3 linked regions of the Arabidopsis thaliana genome follow. The protein of the gene in region 2 interacts with the protein of the main gene of each other region in a pairwise test. Each region holds a gene or a part of one and is shown on either strand. Other genes may lie near its edges.

Region 1 (3,780 bases), on a different chromosome or scaffold from region 2:
ACTAGTAAACGAGGCCATACACTAGAGGGAGAGCCGCACTTTTTAGTATTTGAAAACAAATTGAAGACTTCAAATTTAAATTGAATTGGACTTTCTTTTTGAAAAAACTCGAGAGTTTTAGTTTTCAGGGCAAGTGATTTGTTTGTGTCAACTTACACACATGTAAATACATCAATTGTGAGGAGGAATATTTGAAAGGATATACTGATGGCTGTGACGTAAGTATAATTTATTGCACGTGAAAGATTTGCTTAGTGTGTCTTTGCAACTGCTTAGATGCATTGTTTTTGGTAGGTCGACCTGTTGACACCCCCCGTATAGTATTCAACGCAGCCGCGCGTGGATGGGTGTACTGTTGAATCTTCGTATATCTTTTGGTTTATTTTGGTTTACTCAACTGAAATTACCTTTTATGAAAAATGAGTCGACAATTAATTTACTTTTTTTTTTTTTTTTTCATTCTTTCATTTTAACCCAACCATGGTAAAGTTACAACAGCATAATAAAACTCATATAAAGGCCCAGCAACATAAAATTACTTATTTCTTTCAGTTAAGGAAAATAAGTATTTCGTTATTTTTTTAATTGCTTTTTTTTTTAGAAACAATAACTATCTATATATACATTTTTGCAGCCACTTTAACAAATAAATCTTCACTTAGCACTTATTTACTATGGCATGCCATTGACATTTATTATTTTACTAAACTTATTTTTAAATATAAATATAAAATCTATTATGTTACTAAAATTTATGAAATTAAAAAAAAAAAAAACATTTAAATCTTTCCAATTAGCATTAATCACCCTGATTTTTCGTTTTACATCATTTATTTTCAGTTAATAAAATGAATCAAATCTTATATTACAATATATGCTTTAATATTTTCATTAAAAAAATAATTGCGTAATAAAATTTGAAACCCTAATTATTTCTCAATCAACATTTTTCGTTTCAATTGTACTAAATAATTTTGCTCTTTTTTGGCAAAAATAAATTGTACATGTATTAAGTTGATATTGCAGATTCAAAAAATATTAACAAATGCCTAAATTTAGGTTATTAAAATAAAAAATAGTTAGTTAAAAACACAAGTATATCAATCCCAAATTATGATTAAATTAAATATTTATTTATAATAATTTTTACCAAAAAATAACATTATATATATTAAAATTTTTGAAGTACTTTTTAAAGTACTTTTGTGTTAGTAAAGTAAGAATTTACAAAGAATGTCATCACATTAAAGTCAAAAACAATTATTATTTTTAAAGAATATTAGTGATATATTTTACCTTTATGAAACATTATTAATATTTAAACATAAAAAATTAAAATATCATGAGACGGGAAGTATAGCAGAACGGGTTTGGATTGATAGGAAATACATCGAGACGGGTTTGGATTGATATAACACAGGTAAAATATTTATTTTATTATTTTATCATCACTAATTTTTTTAATTACAAGATTAATATAAAATTATATAACTTTATTACTAAATATAAAATTATAAAATTTAAAATTATTATATATATAAATAAAATATTTGTCCGTAGTGTACCACGCGTTGAATTATAATATGTTGTTGTCACCGACTCTAGCTAGGGCTTATAAATACAAAGACGCATAGGGTTTCACAACTTCATCACCTTAACACAATTTGTTCGCTCTCTAAATTCTTAAATCTTTCATCAAATTTGCTTCACAGTGAAAAACCTCCTCCACAAGGAACACACAATGTCTTCGAAGATGATCGTGTTGATGAGCTCCGATGGTCAGTCGTTTGAGGTGGAAGAAGCGGTAGCAATCCAATCGCAGACCATAGCGCATATGGTTGAAGACGATTGCGTTGCTGATGGAATCCCTCTTGCAAACGTGGAAAGCAAGATTCTTGTGAAAGTGATCGAGTACTGCAAGAAACACCACGTCGACGAGGCTAATCCTATCTCTGAAGAGGATCTCAACAACTGGGACGAGAAGTTCATGGATCTCGAACAATCCACCATCTTTGAACTCATCCTTGCTGCGAATTACCTCAACATAAAAAGCTTGCTTGATCTCACATGCCAAACTGTTGCGGACATGATCAAAGGCAAGACTCCAGAGGAGATTCGTTCAACTTTCAACATTGAGAATGATTTTACACCTGAGGAAGAAGAAGCTGTTCGTAAGGAGAATCAATGGGCTTTTGAATGAGCCCATGAATCAAAACCCTAACTAGCTTTCTTTTTCTTTTTTTCGTTTTTTAGTGTTTTCTTTTTAACGTCTTGATCGATTATGATAACTTTGTCTACATCTTTATTATGATTTGTGTTTCTTTTTATGAGAAAAAAACTTGAACCATGAATGACTAATCCGTAGGAAAGTTATCGGCCATGTCTATTAGTAGTTGCAATGTAGATAATAATGTGACAAACGGAAAGAATATTATGTGTGCTCTACATGGATAACAAATTTACATATAATCAGTACCATCGTCCATCACTTAGACTGCATATCACCTCTTGGGAGATGTAGACAAACAAACATTAAACTGCTAGAACACACTGAAAATACCACAATTTCTCACCAATACCCGATCGTCAACCTGACAAAAACAATTATCCATCACCAATACAACATTAAACTTCTCTATGGTTTTATTTGACTTTCTAGTCTATGAAATATACTTATGTATAGTGGAGTGCAACGATATCATTATTCGTAACTTCAATTGATCCTAGAGTTATAATGAACGAAGGACTAAAACAGAGCTGCTAATAATATTTTAGATCGATTTCAGAATCCACCAGTATCTAGAGCAAACTAATTGTTCTTCACTATGAACATCAATGTTTTACCAATCCATTATTACAAAGTTTTGTGATATCCATATAACTAGTCCACCACACACATTCAGAAAGATTCATGAACCTTATCACGAACTTACTTGATTGTCTAGCAGAAGTTGGAAAGGTAAGCTTGAGCTAAGGAGAGACCAAGCTGGACTTGAGCCTCGGTGGTTAAGTGAAGATTGTCGGACTTTAGCGGCAATCCCTTAGCATCTACACAGACCACATTCGACAGTTTCAGTCCCAACTGTGCTTCTCTCACCTTATCTATGTATCCTCCTCCCGATGCTATTGCCACCTGCTTCAATCAAAACCATCAAGATTAACCAATGGAAATCTGACCTACCGATTTCTAAAAGACAAAATCACTTGCAACAACTGATATGTACATTGTAAAAGCCTAAAATTACATAATCTGCAACTTAACTCTTTCACCAATAACACAACGTCACAACCTATGTAGATGTGACATTGGAAGCTAAAATCGCACAAAGGATAGAGAGACCTGAATAATGGGAAGAGAAGGAAGGTTGAGATCATGACGGAGGTTCTTAATCAAACGATCCATATTGTTCCCGTAGCTCTCGGCGTCATGGATGTCCAACACGTCACTCTCTCCTTGATACCACAACACCGCCTTGATCTCTCCGCCGCATTTCCTACTCTCCTCCGTTCTCTTGACCATCCTCTCGTACAAGTGGCTTCCACGCTCCCACTCTTTTATCGCCGTTCCACCGGAAGCGCACGGCACCAACCCGATCACAGCCGAATCTGTTTCCAGGCGATTCTTCACCGCGTTAGCGAACGCCATTCCTGGACCTACTCCACACACTTTACCTGTGTCAATGTCAACGTGTAGTGGCTCGTGTGCTTCTTCCCACCGGAGATCTGCGGACAGGCGGAGGATCGATGAGTTTGGTGCGCATTCCGGTGGAAGGATTTTAT
Region 2 (5,995 bases):
TCAAGTTCTGGACACAACTACCTTTTATCTTTTTGAATTTAATGTTAAATTATATTCAAAATAAAAATAAACGTTTTTCTTTGAATTTAACTCTATTTGTTTTCTTTTGGAAAGTTGATGAGTGATTGTCGGTAACTATACTAAAAATGGTTTTGCATTTTTCTATAGGTGTGGTATGCCTTGGTACGTGGAGGAAACAAGTTAGACACATAAGCACATATGTACTAGACGCAAATAATGTCACAAAAACGGTTTAAAATATCTGGTTTTCAGTTTGCATGTCGTACTTATAACCGAACGTGTGTAAAGTTCTCATGTCATATACCAGTTCTGTTAAACTAATGAAATATGTTCAGAGGTTTAACCACTATAACTATTAGACCCGATTTCAATTAATCAAGAAATATCCAAACTTTTTAATATATGCATTATGCTTTACAAAATTGTTTGATCTTCTAATGATGTAAAGACATTTACAAAATATAATTATTTAATTGATTCTAACTAATTTGTCCGCGCATAACGCTGGCCGTAAACTAGTTCTTCTTACAAATTACAATATCAATTTCCACTTTGGGCCGGAAATTTATATCCATAACTCTACTACGTACCAATTAACACATGTGTGTAAATAAAACTACATAATGGCATGAATGGAGTTTCGAATCAGTTAATGTGGGCGACAAAATAAAATCAGATTATGTTTTATTATTAAGTTTAGAAAGAGATGCTTCATTAAAAGTTTATGCTTTAATGTTAAATCAGACTATTTATTATGGGTACGACTTGTAAGCGTAATTCAAAGTTAAACAAAACCTAGTTGGGAAATGGGAAGATAGATGATTTGATAAAAACAAGACACTGTTTGGTTTCAGAGACTTCCTTTAGCATCAAAACACAAACAAAAGCGAAGCCTCTTGAGTTACTGCAAATAGAGAATATTATTACCCTTTTGCGACTTGTCAGCTTCAGATATTCTCACTTGTATTATTATTTTCACGGTAAACAATGCCTTAAATAAGAAACCCTGATTGGACTTTTGATCTGACTCTACTCTTCACTCTTTCTTCTTCTTTATTTTCAGTCATGATGTCTCTCTAACCCTAATCTCAAAAAATCCAAACTCCTTTTATTTATTTCTAAACCTTGATTATAGCTAGCAATGATTAATATAAGAATTTTTTTTCTGGATAAAGAATTAATTAGAAATTGAGTTGTAAATGTTTTGTGATGTCTAAAATTCTTTTGTTTGCAAATTAGATGTAAATTGATATATTTGAGATTTGTATGAAAGCTAGTTTTATTTTCCCTAAACAAGAAGTTCATTATCTTGGACTTGGAGGTTTTAGAGTTTGAAAGAGTTTACAATTTATAAGAAAAAATAATCACTATATATATATATATAGTGTATATAATGAATTGTTTCACATTAAATTGCAACAACATCAAATAAGGGTAACATACTAACATATAGTTTGTTTGTTTACTCTTTAAAAAAAGGGGATAAACTAAGAGCTATTTCTGCTATAATTTAGGAACAAACTGGATCACATGACAAAAATGCATCATAATTCATATTAAATTTTGTGTATATCTATTTCTCATGTTTAGAAATAACATTCTTGTGTGTTATACATGTTATCAGTTTTTCTTCCTAGATGGAAGTTTTATTGTTGGAGTCTTTTAAAACCATACTCACTATGTTCCTCTTTATTTGATGTTTTGGATTTTAGATAGAAATTAATAAAAAATATGTTTTCTATTTTTATAAAATTATTTTTTTGTTAGTTTAGTAATTTTATTTTTCTTTTTTTATTATTAGTCACAAGCAAAAATAATAACAATATTTTTATAAAACATTAATTTTGGTCGAACAAGTAAAAATAACTCAAAACATCAAATAATTAGAAACTAAAAAAGTAGATATTGTCAAATTTTGTGTTGAGTTCGAATAAGATAATGTGGTCTCCTCCAACAAAATTATTTAGAATAAATGCACTTCTATGACATTAGAGAACCAACTAATTTATTTAGAATAAAACACACATATATATTAACATATAAAGTAATTCTAATTGGCTTGATATAATATATAAGTAAAAAAATGATCTTAATAATCTCTAGTTTTCTTGGGTTGATCTCCACGAGTACAATTTGACTGACCATTATAGAAGTTGAGAAGCGTGCATGTAATAAAAGTTGTATATTACAAATTAGAGAGGAAAAAGAAAGAAAGAAAAAAGATTTGAAGATGTGATCAAGTGTGAAAAGTATTGGAGTAGTCTCCAAATTAATAATTTCGATGCTGGGCATTGACAAGATAACTCTGAAGCTCTCAACTTTAAGACCATCACTTCCTCTGCCACCATTTTCACGTTTACCCAAACACACACATATACAAACAAAATTTTGTTAGTCAATAATTATCACCAAACTGGGGTTATAACAAGGCTTTTGGATACTTGTGCTTGTTGATGTTCTAGGTTCGTATGATAACAAAGTACATCCGTTATATATATTCGAAACACACTTTAATATTAAAAATATATATCCAATTTTCTTGTGAAATTTAGATTATTTGGAATTAAACCTATTTCTCTTGTCTTGGCCACTTGACCGGTTTAGTTTTTTAGACGTATTTTATTATTTCTGTTTAGAAAATAACAACATATATCAACTGATTTTTTACTTCCAATCTCTTTTTGTCAGCACACAAATAGAAAAACGTCTGTAAGCTAAGCTATCAACTAAAACATTAACATATATAATCTTTTACGTTGATAGAAAATAAACATAAATTTCTGAGTTATTTTTTTTTTGGTTGGTGTGTCACTACTTACTTACTACTATACCTTTTTAACAATAAAGAAACACTATTTCTTTTTCTATTCAATATAATATATGTTTTCTATTTGTATAAATCCATTACCTTTGTTTGTTTTATACCAAATGTTCTTTATATATAAGTATATGCCACCTTACTCTATTGAAGTCAAGAACATATCAAAAACCCATGCAAGAAGCTCACAGAGAAAGACCAAACACTTTTGTCTCTTTCTTCAAAACTTTTACATATGATCTTTGCCTCTTTTCCTACAATGGGTTTTGCATAACTTTCACCAAAACCCTCCTCAAAAGCCCTTCACATATTCCCAACACAAGAAAATAAACTCTAAATCCACTTTCACCAAATCTTTTCATTTTTCAGCTAAAATGGATTCAACTGTGTTCATCAATAACCCATCTTTAACCTTACCTTTCTCTTACACATTTACCAGTAGCAGCAACAGTAGCACAACAACGAGCACCACCACAGACTCAAGCTCCGGTCAATGGATGGACGGTCGGATTTGGAGCAAGCTACCACCTCCTCTTCTTGACCGCGTCATTGCTTTTCTTCCACCTCCGGCGTTTTTCCGGACACGTTGCGTCTGCAAGAGATTCTACAGTCTACTTTTCTCCAACACCTTCCTCGAGACATATCTACAACTACTTCCTCTCCGACACAACTGTTTCCTCTTCTTCAAACACAAAACCCTAAAGAGTTACATTTACAAGAGAGGAGGAACAAACGATGATGATTCCAATAAAGCTGAAGGCTTTTTGTTTGATCCTAATGAGATCCGATGGTACCGTCTCTCTTTTGCTTATATCCCTTCAGGGTTTTATCCTTCAGGATCATCAGGAGGGTTAGTGAGTTGGGTCTCCGAAGAAGCTGGTCTTAAAACCATTCTCTTGTGTAACCCTCTTGTCGGATCCGTGAGTCAGTTGCCACCAATATCAAGGCCAAGGCTTTTCCCTTCGATAGGTCTCTCGGTAACACCAACCTCTATTGATGTTACTGTCGCTGGAGATGATCTCATATCTCCTTACGCTGTGAAAAACCTCTCATCGGAGAGTTTCCATGTCGACGCCGGCGGATTCTTTTCCCTCTGGGCGATGACTTCTTCTTTGCCACGGCTTTGTAGCTTGGAATCTGGTAAGATGGTTTACGTGCAAGGCAAGTTTTACTGTATGAACTATAGCCCTTTTAGCGTTTTGTCCTATGAAGTTACTGGAAACCGGTGGATCAAGATTCAAGCTCCGATGAGGAGATTTCTCAGATCTCCAAGCTTGTTAGAGAGCAAAGGGAGGCTTATTCTTGTAGCAGCTGTTGAGAAAAGCAAGTTGAACGTTCCCAAAAGCCTACGACTTTGGAGTTTGCAACAAGATAACGCCACATGGGTCGAGATCGAACGGATGCCTCAGCCGCTCTACACACAGTTTGCAGCAGAAGAAGGTGGAAAAGGATTCGAGTGTGTCGGAAATCAAGAGTTTGTAATGATTGTGTTAAGAGGAACCTCGTTGCAGTTGCTGTTTGATATAGTGAGAAAAAGCTGGCTGTGGGTCCCACCGTGTCCTTACTCCGGCAGTGGTGGCGGTAGCTCAGGTGGCGGTTCAGACGGAGAGGTCTTGCAGGGTTTTGCTTATGACCCGGTGCTTACTACACCGGTGGTTAGTCTTCTTGATCAGTTAACACTTCCATTTCCTGGAGTCTGTTAGTTTTTAGACTTTAAGATAAAGAGACTACTTGTGGTTTCCACTTCTGACGTTAAGACTGCTTGTTGTTTTCTCAAAATTCTGTTTCTTTTATCTTATTACTGTCTGTATGTAGTAAGTTTATATTTCTAATGTCAAATGTCTAATCTTTGACAACATGTCAACAACATATACAGACAGATTTCTAATTGCGTACAATCCAATCCTAAATCCATCAAACTCAAAAACATAACCCTTGGGAGAATGGTTTCACTTGAGCTTAACCTGGAGAATGAGATGAACTTTGCGGTTCATTATTCTCCTGAGTTCTTCATTGGCCTCAATTCCTATCCTCCTGCAAAATTAGCATCAACATAAGATCATCCTTGAGTCATTGATTAGTCAAAAGAATGAATTATGAACGATCTTGTATGCTCTTACCCGATCTTGCAACCGCCCTTGCCTACAAGAATCTTGCGTTGGCTAAGTTTAGGAGTGATGAGATGCTGTTCAATTCTAAGAGACCCGTCACGCAGCTCTTTCCAGTCCACTAGACGGTGCTCCAGACCATATGGTATTTCCTACAATTTGTTTCAATCAATCCTGTAATTTGTCATCTTGGAATAGACGGAAACTGATACAAAATGTTATACTAGTAGAGGTTGTATTATTACCTGATGGACATGGTCTAGTAATCTCTCCCTAACAACTTCAAGAGAAATGTTCTTCAAGACTTCTTCACTCATCGTGAATGCATCTTCTTCCCATGGTTTTTTAACAGCCTGATCCATTAAGTATTGGGAAAGATCTTTCACTCCTGATCCCTTAAGTCCCGATATCATGAAGTATCTAGAAAACCAAACAGGGAAAAAGCACATTTCAATCAATTCGAAGACTTCCCCGGTAATTGTTTTTAAACTGAGTCTGGTATATATATATCCACCTTTCATATGCCGGAAGATCTTGGAACTCCTCAGCAACCTTTAATAGATCCTTTTTCTTCTCAACCAGATCAACTTTGTTCATACATAAAACGCGCTTTTGTTTCGGATTTTCTTCTTCTCCCATGTATTTGATCAAGCGTACCACTCTTGAATCGGGACTAGATAAATCAAAGAGAAAACAGAATTCACAAACTACAAAATAAGTCTAAGAGAACTCTATTTCTACTTGTAATTAATGAAAAACCACAGTCATGATGCCTTCTTCAAAAGAAAGAAATAGATGTGTCTTCCCATCGGTTTACGGTTCTCAAGCTTATGGATAATCTCGGAGAGATGAACAAGATATGAAAGATATCGAAACAGAGAAGCTAGAAATAATAATCCCACCCTAAGATACCCCACTTGATGATGATGCTCATAACCATACTACTCTCAGTTCCGAGATAACTTATGTAAAGCTAACAAAGTACAAAAACTAGTAAACGACTAACCTCATGAGATGCCTATGGACATCAAACATAACAATGAGGACA
Region 3 (3,574 bases), on a different chromosome or scaffold from region 2:
GCAAGAAAACTGCAGATCGTAGGACACATTATCGAAGACGACTGTGCTACAAACAAAATCCCTATTCCAAACGTTACCGGAGAGATTCTCGCCAAGGTTATCGAGTACTGCAAGAAACACGTTGAAGACGATGATGACGTGGTGGAGACGCATGAATCATCGACGAAAGGAGATAAAACAGTTGAGGAGGCGAAGAAGAAGCCTGATGATGTGGCCGTACCTGAATCAACTGAAGGAGATGATGAAGCTGAGGATAAGAAGGAGAAGCTTAATGAGTGGGATGCAAAGTTCATGAAGGATTTCGATATTAAGACGATCTTCGACATTATTCTGGCTGCTAACTATCTCAACGTCCAAGGTCTTTTTGATCTCTGTAGCAAGACCATTGCAGATTACATAAAAGATATGACGCCAGAGGAAGTTCGAGAACTCTTTAACATCGAGAATGATTTCACACCTGAAGAAGAAGAAGCAATTCGCAATGAAAACGCTTGGACTTTTGAGCAAGATGGAAAACAACAAGTTCCAAAACCCTAGCTTTTTGCTTCGTTTCTTTTTTCTTTTTTCCTTTTACATGTATGATTTGTTTCTGTTTTCTCAAGTGTGTGTGGGATTGATTGGTCTCTTTAATTTCGTTGTTAAGTCTTTCTTTACTTAATTGACCAATTTTCTTGCACTATTATGATGAATGATGATCAATAAATATGCTTTAGCTTTAGCTATCTTTTAGAGTGAAGCGGATTAAATCTCAACTAATGAATCGTCCACCAAAATTATGAAAAAATTAAAGAGAATCGTCCACCCAAATCCTCCGGCAATTCCGAATTCTTTCTCCGGTTGTAACGTAGTAAAAAAAAGTCGCCGCCGTTAAAAAACTTCCTATTATTTTCTCTTTTTCTTAAAATTATTAGTTCGTATGAATCAAAGTTTTTCTTTTTTTCTTTTCTTATGCTAGTTATCAAGAATTTCTTATATACAAACATGTATATATATTTACGAGGTTATTTATGATTTTTCTTAGAACAATTTATTTTTTTATGTACTGTTTTGATCGAGGCTCGAATCTAGCTAGATCAATAGAGATTATTTAATTTGAGATTTACTCTTCTAATTAGTAGTTATTCAAATAAAAGTAGAAAATTAAAACCTAATAAACTAAAAGAACGCAACTGATTACAAAACTTAATTTATAGACTCTTATCCTATAATTAGATTAATAATTAATCAATTAAATTCAATTCTAAGTAAGATGGACAAATTAATTAAATAAATAAAATGTCATACAAAATTTTCATAGAAAATAGCCATGTTTAGGAAAAAAACTCTTTTTGTATGTTAAATAAGTTTCTAGAATCTCCTGATAAACTCTTTTACTAAGACGTCGGTTTTTACTTTTAAGCCCAAAAGTTTTAAGGCTAAACACTAGAGATTTGGAAGATTTGCTTTTCTTCTCTTCCAGTATTGTGAAAAGGAAAACACAATTGACCGACTCTTAAAATATTTTATAAATAGACGCCTTCATCGACTCCTCTCTATTCCATTCAATATCTTTGCATAAATCATAACCAATATTATTCTTTTCATCACCCAAAATCTCAAAAACGAACAAACATGTCTTCCAACAAGATTGTTTTGTCTAGCTCCGATGGCGAATCTTTCGAGGTTGAAGAAGCGGTGGCAAGAAAACTGAAAATCGTGGAACACATGATTGAAGACGACTGTGTTGTTACCGAGGTCCCTCTTCAAAACGTCACCGGAAAGATCCTCTCCATTGTTGTCGAGTATTGCAAGAAACACGTCGTTGACGAAGAAAGCGACGAGTTCAAGACTTGGGACGAAGAGTTCATGAAGAAATTTGATCAGCCTACGGTCTTCCAACTCTTGCTCGCTGCTAACTATCTCAATATCAAAGGCCTTCTTGATCTCTCTGCTCAAACCGTTGCAGATCGCATCAAAGATAAGACTCCAGAGGAAATTCGAGAAATCTTCAACATCGAGAACGATTTCACACCCGAAGAAGAAGCAGCGGTTCGCAAGGAAAACGCATGGGCTTTTGAATAGACACCAAAACCCTAGTTTTTGGTTTCGTTTCTTATTGTCGGTTTTAGGGTTTTGATGACTTTCGTCTCTCTTTTTTTTTTGGTTTTCCATATTTCGATTTCGTGAATGATTTTATATTTTGGCTTATTCAAGTGGTGTGATTGATGACTTTGATTTCGTTGTTAGTTCTTTACCTTACTCTCTATTATGGTGATCAATAAATAGATGCTTTAGCAATCTTGTTCGTTTTAGAGTGAAAATCGAATCGTCCACTAAAAACCTCCGGCGATTCGGAATCTTCTCCGGCGTAGAATAGAACATAATATCGCCGCCGTTCTCTTTTTTTTGTTGGGAACTAAATGATTGGCCCTGCCTAGGGTTTCTCCGTATCTTTGAATATCCTTCTTAATTTGTTTATTAAACTATATAATAGCGATAAGAAATTACTATTTATTTTTAGGCTCCTATTTAATATTTATATATAGTTATACGTACAAAATAATTTAGTTTATATTATTATTATTTATTTTTTTCCTTTTCCTTCCCAAATCTAGGATGGGAATAAAATACTTCGTTTTAATATTCTTTTTTTTCTTTTCGGGTTGATAATTGAGAGGTTAAGATTTTCTTAGAGCGATTTATTATTTTATGATATTAAAATATACGGACGATATACTGAAAGAAAATTCATGCGAGAGGATGTTAATATGCAAATTAATACTATTCAGTTGAATTTTGCCATGCAATCTTTTTGGTCGTAAATTTTGTTGAAAACTTATCCAATCTCATATGAAGCGTCCCAAGGCCCATATCAACACTTATTACGTAGAAAACATCATAAAGCGAGAGAAAAAGAGAGAGAGGCAGAGAGATAGGAGCGTATGGGCTTTCTTTTTTGTTTTGTCAAACAACTTTAATTTACTTAAAACCTAAAAGAGGGATGTTCATACAAATAGAAACTGAAAAAAACACAAAAGGAGGAGAGATAATGGCTCCATGAGTTTTTCAAAAAGATGCTCATCTTTAAAGAGTTTGCAAAGATTAAAAAATCTGTTGAAGCAAAAATTGGGTTCGCCCATAAAGACAGACTTCACAAATTCCTCGACCACCATGTGGTTATAGATGGCTCGAGCGAACAACGCATACAAGCTTTTAAGAAAACGTTCCACGGAAGAAGCTGCCGGATAAGAGAGATTGTCGAAGATTCGGTAACTACTTCTCCTTGGAGATGCAGTCAAAATGCCGTTATTCTTCAAACTTTGAAAGGTTTGCAAATTGATCAAGAGCTTGTCGAGCCTAAAGAGTTGCTCACCTTAAGAATTACTAAAGATTGCTTTATAATCCTAGAAAAACCACCAATCGCAGATGTTGTGTAATGTCATATACATGAGCTCAGAATTCAGAGGAAATGGATTTAAAGGATTGAGAAAACTTCGGTAATCATCGTTCCGTAAAGACGGGCTCATAATGCTGAATTTCTTCAAGCTTTTGGTTTCATGAATTAATTTCCGTAGAGAAGGAGCGTATGGCTTAG

What was found. Proteins that work in one complex are often made in the same cells at the same time.
Region 1: the proteins of UFO (region 2) and SK11 interact in binary tests that used the Arabidopsis thaliana proteins (3 or more experiments, as listed by UniProt).
Region 3: the proteins of UFO (region 2) and SK14 interact in a two-hybrid assay, tested with the Arabidopsis thaliana proteins (3 studies listed by BioGRID).

The regions. Positions count from the first base shown.
Region 1 is NC_003075.7:16,377,262-16,381,041, forward strand, and holds SK11 (SKP1-like 11), read left to right. Parts: upstream 1-1,741; coding exon 1,742-2,200; 3' UTR 2,201-2,267; downstream 2,268-3,780. Other genes in the region: AT4G34215 (carbohydrate esterase, putative (DUF303)), read right to left, coding at 2,942-3,133, 3,341-3,780. UniProt on the Arabidopsis thaliana protein: Involved in ubiquitination and subsequent proteasomal degradation of target proteins. Together with CUL1, RBX1 and a F-box protein, it forms a SCF E3 ubiquitin ligase complex. The functional specificity of this complex depends on the type of F-box protein.
Region 2 is NC_003070.9:11,032,967-11,038,961, forward strand, and holds UFO (F-box family protein), read left to right. Parts: upstream 1-3,025; 5' UTR 3,026-3,213; coding exon 3,214-4,542; downstream 4,543-5,995. Other genes in the region: AT1G30960 (GTP-binding family protein), read right to left, coding at 4,789-4,873, 4,960-5,099, 5,193-5,367, 5,462-5,620, 5,954-5,995. UniProt on the Arabidopsis thaliana protein: Component of SCF(ASK-cullin-F-box) E3 ubiquitin ligase complexes, which may mediate the ubiquitination and subsequent proteasomal degradation of target proteins. Considered as a meristem identity factor required for normal growth of the young floral meristem.
Region 3 is NC_003071.7:959,711-963,284, forward strand, and holds SK14 (SKP1-like 14), read left to right. Parts: upstream 1-1,597; 5' UTR 1,598-1,611; coding exon 1,612-2,061; downstream 2,062-3,574. Other genes in the region: SK19 (SKP1-like 19), read left to right, coding at 1-537; AT2G03180 (uncharacterized protein), read left to right, coding at 3,054-3,416. UniProt on the Arabidopsis thaliana protein: Involved in ubiquitination and subsequent proteasomal degradation of target proteins. Together with CUL1, RBX1 and a F-box protein, it forms a SCF E3 ubiquitin ligase complex. The functional specificity of this complex depends on the type of F-box protein.